Linked DNA regions of Canis lupus familiaris. The protein of the gene in region 2 interacts with the protein of the main gene of each other region in a pairwise test. Links are inferred from orthologs where the notes say so. Each region holds a gene or a part of one and is shown on either strand. Other genes may lie near its edges.

Region 1 (7,009 bases), on a different chromosome or scaffold from region 2:
TAACTTCTAGCCTCTCTTTTTCATTTTCTTCAGTTGAAGCTCCTACTAAGATTCTGAACTTCTCTAGGCTTGTACTTAATTGAGTAAAAATAAGTAACTTCTCAGTAAGTAGGTTACTTCTACTTACTGAGGCAGAGGGCAAATACGGGAGAAACTTCCTCATGAAGGACAGCTCAATGTCTCAATAAGCCAAGAAAGGTTCTGATCTGAGCAGAAGCAACAGAGCTACCTAGTGGGCATTGCAAGAAATCCACCTCCAGAGAAATCAAGCCCCCACTGGTGAGCTGCTCCTATGCAATCCCCTGGTCTATCTGCATTATCGTTAGGGGCAAATGTTTCCATCTGCTTATGGTAACCTCTACATCTTCTCTTCCTCTTGCCCTCTTGGCTCATTACTTCTACTAAATGAGAGTACTGAGAGAAAAAGCCTAATACAACTCTTCTTTTTTGCTTAATAAATCTGCTCCAAGACTGTCAGTCAAAGGAAAAGAGCAGACTAAATTTACAGTAAGGTTGGAAGAATTAGCTTATTACATGGCATATAGTCACATCATTTTCATTCCTAAATAGCATGGATTACTTAGAATCTAGCATATTTAACAATACTATCCTTTCTTCCTAGGGATGTGTTCATTCAACAAACACTCCTTTATGTGCTAGGCATCATTTTAACTCATTTAATCCAAAAATCCTATGAAGTAGGCACTTGTGTTAGCTTCTTTCACAGAGGAAGAAACTGAGTCACAAAGACATAACTGCACAAAATTCACACTGGCAGAGTGAGGCTGGGTTAGGAACCCCATCAGGCAGTCTGCTCTTTTACTATTAGCCACTACAATCTGCTAAACTGATCTTACCTGCCCCATTAGCTTGTTCTGGCCCAAGAATATTCTATGCCATGGACTATTCCCAGTCAGTCTTTGTCTCTCAAAATCGTAAGACTAATGTCTCTCACATCTGCTCCCTCCATCCAATCTCCTTGCATGGACCTTTGATACCTCCTCTGGCCTGGATGCCTGACTCACCTCTACACTGCCCACCCAGCCTCACCCACGGCCCCAGACCCCTACTATTAGCATTAGAGGCTCTCCCACCCCAAATGTTCATGCCATACCACCCCTCCTCAACTCAAGGAAATAAGGACTCCCTCTTGGCACTGTAGCCCTTGGGCAAGTCATGTAATCTTCCATGATCCATGTTCTCCTTTATAACTATCTCATCCAACTGGACAATCAAATAAGACATTTTTAAACACTTAATGCAATGTCTAGATTACACTATGCCAAAGCATAGATCAAAAGCCACCTCTCTTCCTTAACTTTCTCACACACTCTCCAAAGGAAGCAACCTATATGCACTCTAGACTCTTGGTATTTCTCTAGCAAATTTAGCATTCCATCTTATTTGTAGGTATGGCTTCTACATAGCCATGCACACTCTCCCTAGGTATATGTGAACTCTCCTCGAGTCAGATTCCAAGTTCTATAGATGGAGCATTTCCTGTAACATGTGGCACAGGCACTGGCCTGTGGTACATATCTAATGAGTGTGGGTGAACAGTCATTATTCCCCACTGCTCAAGAAGACAGCCTACTTCTTGAAATGAAAGAGGCTATAGTTAAGCTTCTGTAAGGGAAAGCTCTATGCAGAGAGGGTGAGCTTATTTTAAGGCAAATCCCCTCTGATACTCCATCAGCTCTAGGCCTCTCCCAACTAAAATGGGTTGTAAATGCACAACCAAAAGCTGCTAGGTAAGCAATAACTATTGGGGGCTGGGGAGGAATCAAAGGCATGAAGTCAGAAACTCCAAGCATAGCACAAAGGAAATTCTTCTTTCTAACCAAGTCTTACAAAACCCACACCCACTGTGCCTCCTATGGCCAGAGGCAGGGGACAGTTACAAAGTGCTTGGGTGTCTATTCTCAATGAACACTACTGGGATCACATTTACCTGGGATCATTTTGATAGCTGTGTTTACTTCACTCCACTTGTGCACCCGATCGAACTTCCAGTCCAGGATAAAATTCCCATTATCCGTCACCACGGGACCCTAGAAGGTATGATTTTCCACATTTACAGAAGTTATAAATACAGGTAGGCAGAGAGAGGGGCAAGAAAGTGAAGGGGATGCCCACAGACAAGTATCTTAATTAACCTGCTCCAGCCAGTACCCCACCTCCTGCTTTCTAGAAGGCAGTGCTATGAAGAAGTAATGAGCAGGAACTCTGGCATCAAAATTTGAGTCTTGAAGCCACATAGGTATAGAGGAGGCTCAGAGAAGCTATTAACTTCTGTGAGCCTCAGATTCCTCAACTACAAAAAGAGGATAATGATACATACTTGAGAAAGCAGTTTATGTATAAACCATAGGGGTAAGCACTTACCACAGTGAGGGCTCATAGGACGGGTTCACTAATTGGCTAATAATAGCCAATTGGCTATTACTAGAATGAAAAACTAGAACAACAGAAGCAGACTATCCACATGGACATTCTCACTGCTTCACATTAGGTGCCCAGTAAAAAATAAGGCAGTGCTATTGCACCCATCACTTCACCTCGCAGGCAGTCCCACCAAAACAGGAAGCAGAGACGTGTTCTGGGCTCCAAAAAAGAGCAGAGGGTAGTTTTAGATAATTAACCCAAAATTCCTCCACAGCTTTGGGCACTAGTAGGCATTTGGGACCACAAATGTGGACAGAGCACTACAGTCACAGGCAAGGAAACTAGGCTGCTCCTGCAGGTTGGAGGTGAGGGGATGGGAGATCAGTGAAGAGCCCCAAGAAGGCAGGATGCTGGGTTCCTGTCTGGAGTCACCCCAGCCATGAGAGAGAACCCCCTTCTCCAACAGTCTCCTCCGAACCTCTCAGCTACAGAGGGAACTAGACCCAGAGCTCTGCATAACCACTAGAATTAGGACTGATTTTTAAAACATCAGAAAAACGCTAGGAAAAAAAAATCAACATAAAAATGCATCAGGGTAAAGTCACAGATAATCTGTTTTCTCTTCTGTATCTTCTAAACCTGTTATAAAGTCATGTCTATAAATACAGTTAGCTTTTGGGTTATTACTTTTGCTTGTTTATTTAAGTGTAAGAGGAAAAAAAAGTTCTGTGCAGCCCACTTTAGAAGTAGAAGAGAAACATTTGCACTAAGTTTCCAAAGCGTATTCCTAAGGAAGAGTTCATATCCCCCAGGAAATTCTACTTCTTGTCACAGAATGAAGTAAGAGGAGAAAAGGAAAATTATACCATGGAACCTGGAAAACTTCCTGCCCTGGGGTGCCTCCCAAAGCCATTTTTAGCCACTGGGAAGCACGGTGGTCCAGACCACAAGGTACAAAGATCCAATCACCTGAGGACCATAAGACCCCAAGGGACCAAGAAAAAGAATCAATTCCTCACTTGTACAGAGAATATGCACTGCATTAAGTGTCATATCATCTACACGAGTTTGAATATAGGAACTAATAAAGCTAGTACTCTAAAAATAAACCAATAATCTGAATAAAAATAAATAAAAGCTGACTACCCAGGCTATACTCAGAGGGACCTAACTGAAACAAAAAGGAGGACACCACATCAAGAAGCTAGAATGCCCTTGAGAAACCTCCCTGACCACTTACTGCCTTGTTGATAGCCATCCGAAGTTCAATCACGCCCCCAAACTTCTGGGTCACAGCTCGGCTCACAGGAACATAGGCCATTGGGATGACCTCAATGGGGATTCCCTTGTGCCACTGATCCCCGAGATTCTTTGAATCTTTCCTGGAAAGAAAGTCAGAAAGTACAATAAATATAAATAAGCTCAATGGTATAGACAAACACCAAATTCAGACGTAGTAAGTGGGCAGAGAGCAGGGAAACACACCGGGCTGCTAATGTTTGAGCTGTTTTACTAGTTAAGAAATTAGGTATTTCAAATAAGTATGACTTTTAAAAATGTTAAAACTGGTTATGACTAGCTTGTGGCTATCCAGGTGTTTATTATTTATGTTCTTTCTACAGTAATAATATCTTGTAAGTCAATACAATTTTTTTTTAAATTAACATGCTCAGCATAAGCACCATCTACCAGACTCCTTGAAGGAGAATCTGAGAGCCTGGTCAGAGACTCTGCACAACACATTTATGTGTCCAGAGGAAGCAGAACATGCTGAGTCACTGCCCGTGGGCAGGGCCTGTCCTTCCTACAAGGATCAAATGAGTGATATATGAGGACATGCTCTTGTCACAAGAGTGACAAGCTATTTCCTCCTCCTTCCAATGGACACAAAACATAGCAATATGTACCTTCAGTATGAAAATGGAACAAAATCCTTCAAGACACTCCCTCAGTCTTAGCCATCAGTCTCAGAAAGCCAGACAGCCCCTCCATTTCTCTATCCTCCTCTATAAAATGGGGATGAGGTTGGGGTGTGATCTACCTCCGCCCCCAGTGGACAGCTCAGAACACTCAACATTGTACCTGAAGTCGGCGATCACGATGAAGCGACTGGCATAGCCGGCCACAATTTTCTCTTGGGTCAGACAGCCTCTGGGGATGGGAAGAGGCAAGTGAATACAGGGTCGGACACAAACTCAATTTGAAAACTAAGGTCAGATACAGGAAACCCAAATCTACTTAATGATAAATTGAATTTATAATTTTTAAAGATCCTCAACTCCATCATGCTGGGCAATGGACTAAACTGTGTCCTTCCCAATTCCATATATTGAAGCCATAACTCCCAAGTGCACATTACTTTAAGAAGTAATTATGGTTAAAAGTGTTTGGAGGGGTGGAGGAGTCTGGTCTGATAGGATTAATGTCCTTAACAGAACAGACACCAGAGAGCTCACTTGCTCTCTCTCCACCCTGAGGGCACAATGATAATAAGGCAGCCAACTCAAGCCAGAAGTCTCCAGAATTCTTAAAAATTACTTGTTGCTGAAGCCACCCAGACTACAGCATTTTGTTAAGGCAGCCTGAGCTAAGACATGTTGCTTCTGGTAAATGAGCCTATGTCTGGGAGAAATGGATCCCAGTCAGGCCAGGCATACTCCTATCTAAAATATATCTGTGCTCAAGGAAAAGTCATCTGAGCATGGCATGAATGGAAGGGTCTATAACTTAAGAAGGACAAGCTTTGAACAACCTTTCCTATCTACTATTTGACAGTTGGGGTGATGAAGCAGAGTGTACGGTATGATTCTAAACATGTTGTGTCATTGCAGTCTGCTTAATTACAATAGCGGAGCAGGACTTGGCCTTCTTCAATCCACCATTCCCTACCCCCAAATCAACATTTAAGAAATACTCAATAAATGTTTTCCAAGTGAATAAATACATGTACAACTAACTGCTCACAGAGGTTAAGAGCAGCTTTAAGCAAAGATCACACACTAATTCCCACAGACCTAATAATCTACCCCAACAATATATCTGGTTTAATTCATACAGTTATTAAAATTTGATTCAGCAGAAGAATGCAGATACAGAGAACTCAGTAAGATGAATAATCTCACTGAAGAGACCCAGGTTCCTGGTCAGCAGACTGCTACTCATAACTAGAAATGCCAAACTGGCTCTAACAACCATCAACTTCCTAGAAAAAAGACAAGCTCACATACATCACAGTGGCCATTTGTTTATTCTGTCTTCCACCTTGCTTTGCTAAGGATTAACTGGCAGATACTCCTCAGCAAGAAAGTCCCCACAACACTCACCCACCACCCTTGATGAGATTGAGATCAGCATCTACTTCATCAGCACCATCAATTGCGAGGTCAATCTGTGGGAGGAGAGAAGAAAGATACAGAAACTACTGAGAGCCATTAGAGGGGAGGCTCTGTGCAAAGCTTGAACATGTAATAACTCATCAGATCCTCAGCAGCCCTATTAGTTAGGTAGAGTTATTCCCATTTAATCAGTCAAAAAACAGGCTCTGAGAGGTTAAGCTATTCCACTAAGGTCCACTAAATATGGAGCCTGGAAGCCACACATGGGTCTAGTTCTTACCCACATTACACTCCCTTTTCTCATTGATAGGCATCTCTGTGGATGAGCTAGAATTATTAAGAGTACACAATCCCAATGTGGGTGACATCACCCCCAAGTACAGAAAAGATACACAGTATACCTGTGGTATTAAAATTTCACTGGAGGGGGGCAACAGAAAAAAGGCCGAGAAACACTGATTCAGAAGTCTCCATGCTAAAGTGGCAAAAAGAAAGGCAGTTTCCAGCACAGAGAGAAAACCCAATGAAGAGTTATAAAGCTGACACACATTTGATCTGCAATTGGAAATTATCTGAGGCACCCTGACTATGACCCCGCCAAAGCACCTGTCCGGGCATGCCCACTCCCACTATTAGGAAATTCTACCACCAACCCCAGGAGCAGTCAGGGGCAGGTGGGTTCATTCATCTTTCAAGATCTGAAATCAAGGAAGCTAAGTATTTCGTGACACTCCTGGACTCCAAGTAGACAGTGTGGGAGTCTTAAGTATGGTTATTTAAAGCAGCTGTATGAAGAAACCTCAGGGTACAAGTCAGTTTAAGCTGCCTGGCATGGCACAAGTATAAAGTGCACAAAGCTTCAGCTTCACCTTGTTTCCATGCTTTCAGATTCTGCTCTTTGTCTGAAAAGAGAGGCTATACTGCTTCTCCACACCCTGCGCTAACCCCAGGGCCAGGCTACATCATGGCAACTCTTGGGGCCTGGAAGGCTGCAACCTTCTTTGTGTGAGTTCCAGGCCTACCTTCAGCCCAAACCACTCTTCTCACAGTGCTGAACACTGACTCACACTCTGCCCTGGCTCTGCCCACAGAAATCCCCCAGTGAGCCCTTCCCATGGTTCTTACTAAACTCTCTAAGGCCCACGTGTACCAGGACAACACAGACTAGTAGACCATCGGGTCCCCATCTGCAGTCTGGTTCTCAAGCTGCCATAACCCCTTTCCACTCTTCCAGTCCAGCCTCTCCTCTCCCACCATGCACCAATGCATACCACTCACTCGGTCCTTAC
Region 2 (7,511 bases):
GACCCCAGGGGCGCCCAGGATGGTAGAGAGAGGAAATGAGGACTGACTCCCGGACCTGGCTGGCCAGCCACAAGCTGTTGAAAGATGCAAGTTTTCACTTCCTTTCCAAGTGGGAGTCTAAGTCCAGCACAGTTTCTGTATTTGAGTTAGATTGCTAGCCCGTTTCTTCCTGCTGCTGCTGCATTCACCGACTCTGGAAGCTTGGCCCGGGCACCTCTGTGCGTGATGAGGGCTTGGGAGCGGGGCTGGGCAGGCCCACAATTCCTGGGCATGGAGCCTAGTCATGAGCTTGGGGGATGGGAGGGGACGAGGGCAATCTCCTCAAGTTGTTTGTGTCGCCGCACCTCTGAGCAGCTTCCCACAGCTGTCTCTCTCGCTGCATTGCTGGGGCCTAGGGCTGTGCCATTAAAAGTCAGGTCGTCTCCCCTCTGTTTGTTCTTTATTTCTGGCCTCAGCCTCTATGCTAGCCTGGGGAGCCTCCCGCCGGGCCCTGGGGAAGATTCCAGCATTGCTAATAGGCACCCCAGGACCCATATCGACGTCAGCACGTGGGGGTGCACACTGCTGGGGTGGGGGCAGTCGGGGAGGAAGCTTCAATCTCAGGAGCAGGTGATGCCAGCCCTGCCCCTGCGTTCCCCTCCCTGGTGATTCAGGGACGCAGTGCCCTTCCCTAGGGAACAGGTTTCAAGCCCGGCAAAGGCAGGGCCCCTGTTTACTCAGCAGAGTAGGGCAGGAAGTGGCAGCTGGATACTGCTGCACCACACTGGCCTCATTAATCATTAACCGTGTGTGAGCTAGAACCCTCTGGGACAGACTGGGCCAAATGGCTGCCACCTCCACTCCCCTTGCCCCCAGGCCGAGGCTGGGAGAGACCTGTTAAGTTGCTGTCAGGAAGCTTCCTCAGGTGTCTCCACCCAGAAGCCCTAGCCTGGCAAACCGGCTGGGCTGCTTTGACTCAGCTACCCACTCCTGGGAATGAAGGGAAGAACAAATTCAATGTGCTTCTAGGGGGCCCTGGTCCTACTTCTTAGCAGAGAAGCCAGCTCGATCCAGAAGAGCTTTAAGTTTTTGACTAAGACAAGCTAGGACAACTGACTCCTCCCAGCTAGTCAGATCTAAGGTAGGGACACCTGCCTCCTTAGGCAGAATGGCGAAGTCATGCCATTCCTCATTAGGCCAGTCCCTCTTCCCAAGCGGTTCCCTTGGAAATGGCAACCAGACCCTGGGCCCCGGGCACCTCTTCTCTTTCATTCCAGGAACAATGAGACTAAGATCCACACCAAGCTGCTTTCACTTTATTCTTCTATTTATACATTCTCCTGCTCCCAGATGTGAAGGCAGACCATGATGTAAGCTCAGCAGTCCTGCTCAGAGCCTTTCTAGATTCTATCCATTTCCCCTTCCCCATCTCCTACCCTCGTCCACACCCAGTCAGTCCCCTGTCCAGTTGTTGTAGAAGCAAAGAAATAAGACTGAGCTGACAGTTCCCATCCACTTGTCCCCGATGCCAAGAGAGCAGTCCTGGAGACACCGGGTGGAGATTCTAATGAGGGATGAGAGCCTCCTTCCAAGGCACAGGGCCACCTCTCAACGTAGCCATTGGTCTGTTTAGATTTGGGTGGTATGTTGGCCTGAAGCTGGGGGTTGCAGTGCCTCCAACTGACTGAGGAGGAGAGAGATGGGAGGGCGCTCCTGGGGGTCTACAGTCATCATTGAGGCCAGCAGCTGCCGCAAGGTTGAAGAATGCCTGTGGAAGGAGGCGGGCAGGGTGACTGGAGGGTCCTCATTCCCCATGCTACGGTTCTAACTCCACTAATGCCAGTGAGGAGTCTGAAGTGTTTCGTACCCCTTTTATTGCTCACCTGGGGCTCTGCGGGATGCTGAGTTGGTTCTGCACAGCAAGGGCCACACTGTCACCCTTCTGGAACACCATGTCATATGGGCCTTCCCCAAACATCATGGCATACAGCACGCAGCCTAGGGACTGAACATAACTTGGTTATTACTTGACAAGGGACCAATAGAAATGATCTCTTTCCTCTGGACTCTGTAGTGAAAGGTGACTACATAAGCTAATAAGAATAGGCTGACCTCAGCCCCATGACACCACCAGGGTCCAGAGAAAGCACCAGCTAGCTGGAGGCTTCTGCACCCCCTGCTTGCCACTGCCTTCAGTCCTGACACTTAGCTGTACTCATTCTGTTCAAAGGGAGGAATGATACCACTTCCTGAGCAATTGAGTACAGTGTCAGTGACGGTTCCCAGGAAGGAAGTCGAGGGGGATGGGGACATACACGGTTCCTGGGGCCCCATGCAATCGAAACCAAAGACCTGCCCCTCTGCTGCACAGCAGGTACAGAGCGGTACTCCTCCCCATCCATGTGCCCCCCCACATGCTCCTCACCCAGACATCAGTCCGCTCATCAATGACACAGTGGCTCTGCACGGAGAAGAGCTCTGGGGCGCGGTAGGAGATGGTGCATCGCTGGGCTGCCCAGTCCTGGAAGAGTGGCCCCATAGCTCAAAAGAGAGGCACAGGTCATAGTCATGTGACCAAACTGGGGCATGCAACAGGAAAGGCTGAGGATGGGGAACAGGAGGGCAAAGGAACCTGGACACTCTTTTACCTGCAGGGCCAGAGCCTGGCGGGAGCCTTCCACATGGATGCAAGCTTGATTCATGGAACCCAAGTCCATTAAAACTGGCTGCCCCTCATCTCCAAGCAAGATATTGGTGGGCTTCAGGTCCCTGCAGGAAAGTGGAAATAAATGGCCCATGAACATCCCTGGATAGGGAGACTAGAATCCCTGGGGGCAAAAGAATCATGGGGACTGTTCCTTGGGAGGAGAGCAGAGACCACTCAATCCTTTTGGTGAGGCTCTTTCTTTCTGCCCCATAAGCACACTGGGCCCTCCCACTGACCTGTGGGCATAACCTCTGGCATGAATGGCCTCAAGGCCTCTGCAGATACCCAGCAGCAGCTGAAGGATTTGATCTTCAGTCAAGAAGTTGCCTTTGTCCTTCAGCCTTTCTATCTCGTTCCACAGCGTACCCCTCTGCAACACAAGTTTCCCCACGGTTGGACAGGTTTTCTGGGTCTCTGCTCCCTCAGCCTGATCCCTTCCCTGTGTCACAGCCTAGCAGCTCTTTCACCACACACACTACACACCTCACAGTCCCACTTGGGTTCCCCTAAACCCCAAATCTGAAGCGGTCCAACACAGGACATGGTCTCTGCTTCCTAACGTGCTTGGCTACTCACACAGCCCTCGGTAGATGACTCTGTTGCAAGCCCCTCCATTGCCAGGAGACTTTCTGACCTTGAAGAAGGGTAGCAGCAGCCAGGCCTCATGTTTAGTGCCCCGCTCCCTCAGACAATAAGCCACAAGGCGGAGGATGTTGGGGTGATGGAAGAGGCGATGCATGTCTGCTTCTCGTTGGGCTTCCTCCCGATCCTGCTGCTCGTGACACAGGATCCGCTTCAGGGCGTAGAAGTGTCCATCATGTAACCCCTCCACTAGGTCCACATAGCTGAACCCACTGTGGGCCAAAGGGGTCAGTGAAGGACCACGGTCATCTCCCACACTGCTTGGACCCAGAGGAACTCCCTGGGTGGGGAGGGGAGGGGGTGTCTTTCCCAGTCAGCAGAAACCCTCCCAAGACGTGGCTTCAGGAGAAGTCTGAAGATTTTACACTTTGAGCTCAAGGGTAGGAACACAGCAATCTTTGAGGTACCTTGGTCATAATGCACAGCTCTGCACGTGACAAATGCTCCGGAAATGTTACATGAGTAAGTAACAGTCAACATCTGTCAAGTGCTGTGAACCGGGCCCTGGGTGAGATTATTATTATTATTTTTTCTCTTTTTGGTGAGATGATTTCTATGCACTATCTCATTTAATCCTCACAACTCCATCAGCGACAAAAGATAATTATCTCCAGGGCAGCCCGGGTGGCCCAGCGGTTTAGCGCAGCCTTCAGCCCAGGGCCTGACCCTGGAGACCCAGGATCGAGTCCCGCATCGGGCTCCCTGCATGGGGCCTGCTTCTCCCTCTGCCTGTGCATGTGCGTGTGTGTGTGTCTCTAATAAATAAAATCTTAAAAAAAAAAAAAAAAAGATGATTATCTCCATTAAGCAGATGATGAAACCACGGCTTAAGGTCACACCAGGTGGAGCCAGGAGGCCTGGCTCCAGAATCCACTTTCTTGGCATTCGGGTTGCTAGGCTCTGTCAGGGGAGCTAAAGGATGCTTTACAAGGATGAACCTCCTGAGGCCCTATCACGTGCAGACTGCTGTCCTTCACTCACCAGAACCCTGGGGGCTGGCTAGGCGATTTCAACACTCACCCCTCCCCCAGTTTCTGGATGAAGAGGTAGCGCTTGTTGTCAATGAGGACGGTTCCCCGGGAGCAGACACACAGCGCGTGGCCCATAGCGCCTCAGTCATCCTCCTCAGGGGCGGTCCGGGGCTGCCGACGGCCGCGTGCGGGCTGAGGGGGCTCTTCCAGGCGACGCGCTGGGGGCCCCGCGGATCATGCTGGAAGGCAAAGGACGGCAGGGTCGTGGGCCAGGCACGACCCCCGAAGTGCCGACGTGCAGAGCTGGCGCCCGGGCCTCGGAACGCAGAGGAAACGAGCCTTGGCGACGCCGGCTCGGGCACGGCCGAGGTCGGGTGCCCTGGAGCCTCGGGCCACGCCGCGACGCCCAGGCCGCGTCCTCGCCGTCGGGCCGCCTCGGCAGCCGCGGAGCGTGGGGGCGAGGCCCGGGCCCACCCGGCGGGGCCCGCCCCGGCCTCGGCGCGCAGAGCCCCGGGAGGGCCGGCCCCGACTCCCCACTGACCTGGCTCCGGCCGGAGACGAGCGCCGCGGACCGGAAGGAGCGTCTACGTCATCAGGCCGCGCCGGCGTAACGGCCCGCGGTATCCTAGCAACCGCAGGGCATCCGGAGGATGTGGGGGCGCGGAGCTGAGAGGCCGGGGGCGGGCTAAGGCGCGGGGGAGCACGGGTCCCGGGACCCGGTGAGGGTTCCACACCAGGCCTTCAGTAGTGGGCAGGACGCAGGCACCCGCGCCCAAGGGGAGCAAAGCCGGGCTCGGCCCGAGGCCCCCCAGGCCCCCCGTCTCCCAATGCCGGAGGTAGGAAGCTGCAGTCCAGCCCCGAGGGGCGGGGGCCGGGCGGGGGCCGGCGGCCTGGACCCCCACAGCGCCGATCGGTGCACCCTTCGGGGCTCAGGCCTGCATCCCACTACCCTAGTTTCAGTGGTTAAGAGCTTACTAGCTGCGTGACCTTGGACGACTTAACCTCTCAGAGCCTCGGTTTCCCCAGTTGTAAACAAGCTCTAACAGTACCTAAGGTTAGGTGCCCGTACGGGGAGGCCAGGCTGCAGCTCCCAGCTCTGCTAAACTAGCTGCGTGACCTTGAGCAGACTATTTAAAATTTCTGCCTCTCAATTCCCTCATGGGTAAAATGGGAGTGATAATTACCAACTGCACGGAGCTTTTTGAAGATGAAGTGAGATGTAAAGTGCTTAGCACACTATCTGACACAGCCTTGGTGTCAATAAATAGAAGTTGCTGTTATTTTTATTATGATTCTATTTTTCTTATCCTGGTCCTTACATCCCAGGCTTGGGATTGTGAAGGCAGGAGTCATGGAAATTCATAAATTCCCAAGCCTTGGCCCCAGGTAGTTGTTCTTGACAGCTCTCGCTGAGGCAGGGCAGGGATAAATTGAAGAGCGGTGGACATCCAAAGAAGACAGAATGGCTGAGGTGGTCTCTTTTGCTGTAGCAGGGCCACTAGGAGAAAAAAAAAAAAATCCCATTTATAACTTGGTTCCTACTTTCACACCACTGGGAAGATTGATTCCGAACCTGTTTTAGCCCCCTGGTTCCGACATTCATTCATCTAGATTTAACCTGCTATGTACCGAGTCCCGTGCTAGAAGCTGAGGATGCAAGATGGACAAGGTACTCTTCACCCTCAGGGAGCTCAGTTTAGTACCACAGTGCTTCTCAATCTTGAATGCCTTTCGGATCGCCTGGGAATCTTGTTAAAATCCAAATTCTGATTCTAATAGGTCTGAGGTAGGACCTGAGACTCTGCATTTCTAACAAGCTCCCAGGTGATGCTGATGAAGCGGATTCAAGATGTAGAGGATCTTACAAACTAGTAGAGTAGCGCGGGTGGACAAGTCCAGGCTAATTGCCTGGTGACTTGAGGTGGTCTCCGCCCCCTTGCTCGCTGAGGTTCCCTCCCAGGAATCCACCACGTGACAGCCGGACCGCCCTCTCTGAATAGAGGAGCCCTGTTAGCGCCATGGCTCCCAGGAAGCGGCTCTGCCTTCCCGTCCTGCTGTTGCCACTTCTGTCCCTGCTGCTGCCCCAGGTAAAATGACAGGATTGAATCGGCAGGCTGGGCGTGGTGAGGCGGGATGAGATCCAGCCCAGGAGAGAAAGTGAAAATAACAGAACAACAGGCTGGGCTAGTTCCATCTCCTCTGCAGACTCTGACCCCTCCCTCTGTTCCAGGCCTCTGCTGACCCCGGGCTCTCTCTTTGCAGGCAGACAATCGGTCGTTCATAGTGGATCGGATAAATGACAGATTCCTTCTAGATGGGGCCCCGTTCCGCTACGTGTCTGGCAGCCTACACTACTTTCGGGTACCACGGGTGCTTTGGGCAGACCGGCTTTTCAAGATGCGAATGAGTGGCCTCAACACTGTACAGTTGTAAGCAGTGCTCAGGACAAGCCATGGAGGGTGGGATTTACTCTTCCTACCACCCCCCGTCAAAAGGGGATTGGGACAGGAGGACTAGCTGGGTATGAGAGCTCCAGGGCTTCCAGGCCAAGGGTGGGAAAGGGTGGGCCAGGACCTCCTTCCAACAGCTTCCTGGAGATTCCATGCAAGGCCTGAGCCCTTAGGCCTCTCCAGCACCTCCCGCCTTGGGCCCTGTTAACCTTTTTCTTTCTCAGTTACGTGCCCTGGAACTACCATGAGCCAGAGCCTGGGGTCTATAATTTTAATGGCAGCCGGGACCTCTTTGCATTTCTGAAAGAGGCATCTCTAGCGAACCTGTTGGTCATACTGAGACCAGGACCTTACATCTGTGCAGAGTGGGATATGGTGAGTTAGAAGGGATAGAACCAGAGCCACTCCTGTGCAGTTCCTTCACTCCCCCCATCTGCCCACACTGTAGGGCCACTTCCAGTGCTATACTCAATATCCTCCCTTCATACCTCTTCCACCCCACTCCCAAACAACAAAACCTGCTGTCTTTATGTTTGTCGCAGGGGGGTCTCCCAGCCTGGTTGCTTCAAAAACCTGAAATAAATCTGAGAACCTCAGATCCAGGTGAGCTGAGACAAAAGTTTCAACACAGAAAATAAAAGCAACCGATAGGAACACAATGAGTCATTTGGGTGCTCAAAACTGAAGAGACCATCCCCAAACTGGAGATCATCCATGCAGATATTTGAGTGTTTCCTTCATGCCTAGCAAGATGCTACAAAC

What was found. The genes of interacting proteins can lie anywhere in the genome.
Region 1: the proteins of STK16 (region 2) and RPIA interact in binary tests that used the Homo sapiens proteins (3 or more experiments, as listed by UniProt). The two-hybrid records come from large-scale screens. The link is inferred for Canis lupus familiaris from reciprocal best matches to the Homo sapiens genes STK16 and RPIA.

The regions. Positions count from the first base shown.
Region 1 is NC_049238.1:38,096,095-38,103,103, forward strand, and holds part of RPIA (ribose-5-phosphate isomerase), read right to left. Parts: intron 5,774-7,009; coding exon 5,709-5,773; intron 4,537-5,708; coding exon 4,468-4,536; intron 3,768-4,467; coding exon 3,626-3,767; intron 2,052-3,625; coding exon 1,952-2,051; intron 1-1,951. UniProt on the Homo sapiens protein: Catalyzes the reversible conversion of ribose-5-phosphate to ribulose 5-phosphate and participates in the first step of the non-oxidative branch of the pentose phosphate pathway.
Region 2 is NC_049258.1:25,667,031-25,674,541, reverse strand, and holds STK16 (serine/threonine-protein kinase 16), read right to left. Parts: upstream 4,936-7,511; 5' UTR 4,841-4,935; intron 4,539-4,840; 5' UTR 4,435-4,538; coding exon 4,349-4,434; intron 3,760-4,348; exon of another isoform or gene 3,745-3,759; coding exon of another isoform or gene 3,736-3,744; intron 3,541-3,735; coding exon 3,321-3,540; intron 3,057-3,320; coding exon 2,923-3,056; intron 2,749-2,922; coding exon 2,628-2,748; intron 2,501-2,627; coding exon 2,405-2,500; intron 1,985-2,404; coding exon 1,863-1,984; intron 1,748-1,862; coding exon 1,609-1,747; 3' UTR 1,274-1,608; downstream 1-1,273. Other genes in the region: GLB1L (beta-galactosidase-1-like protein), read left to right, coding at 6,318-6,386, 6,562-6,728, 6,974-7,124, 7,292-7,352. UniProt on the Homo sapiens protein: Membrane-associated protein kinase that phosphorylates on serine and threonine residues. In vitro substrates include DRG1, ENO1 and EIF4EBP1. Also autophosphorylates. May be involved in secretory vesicle trafficking or intracellular signaling.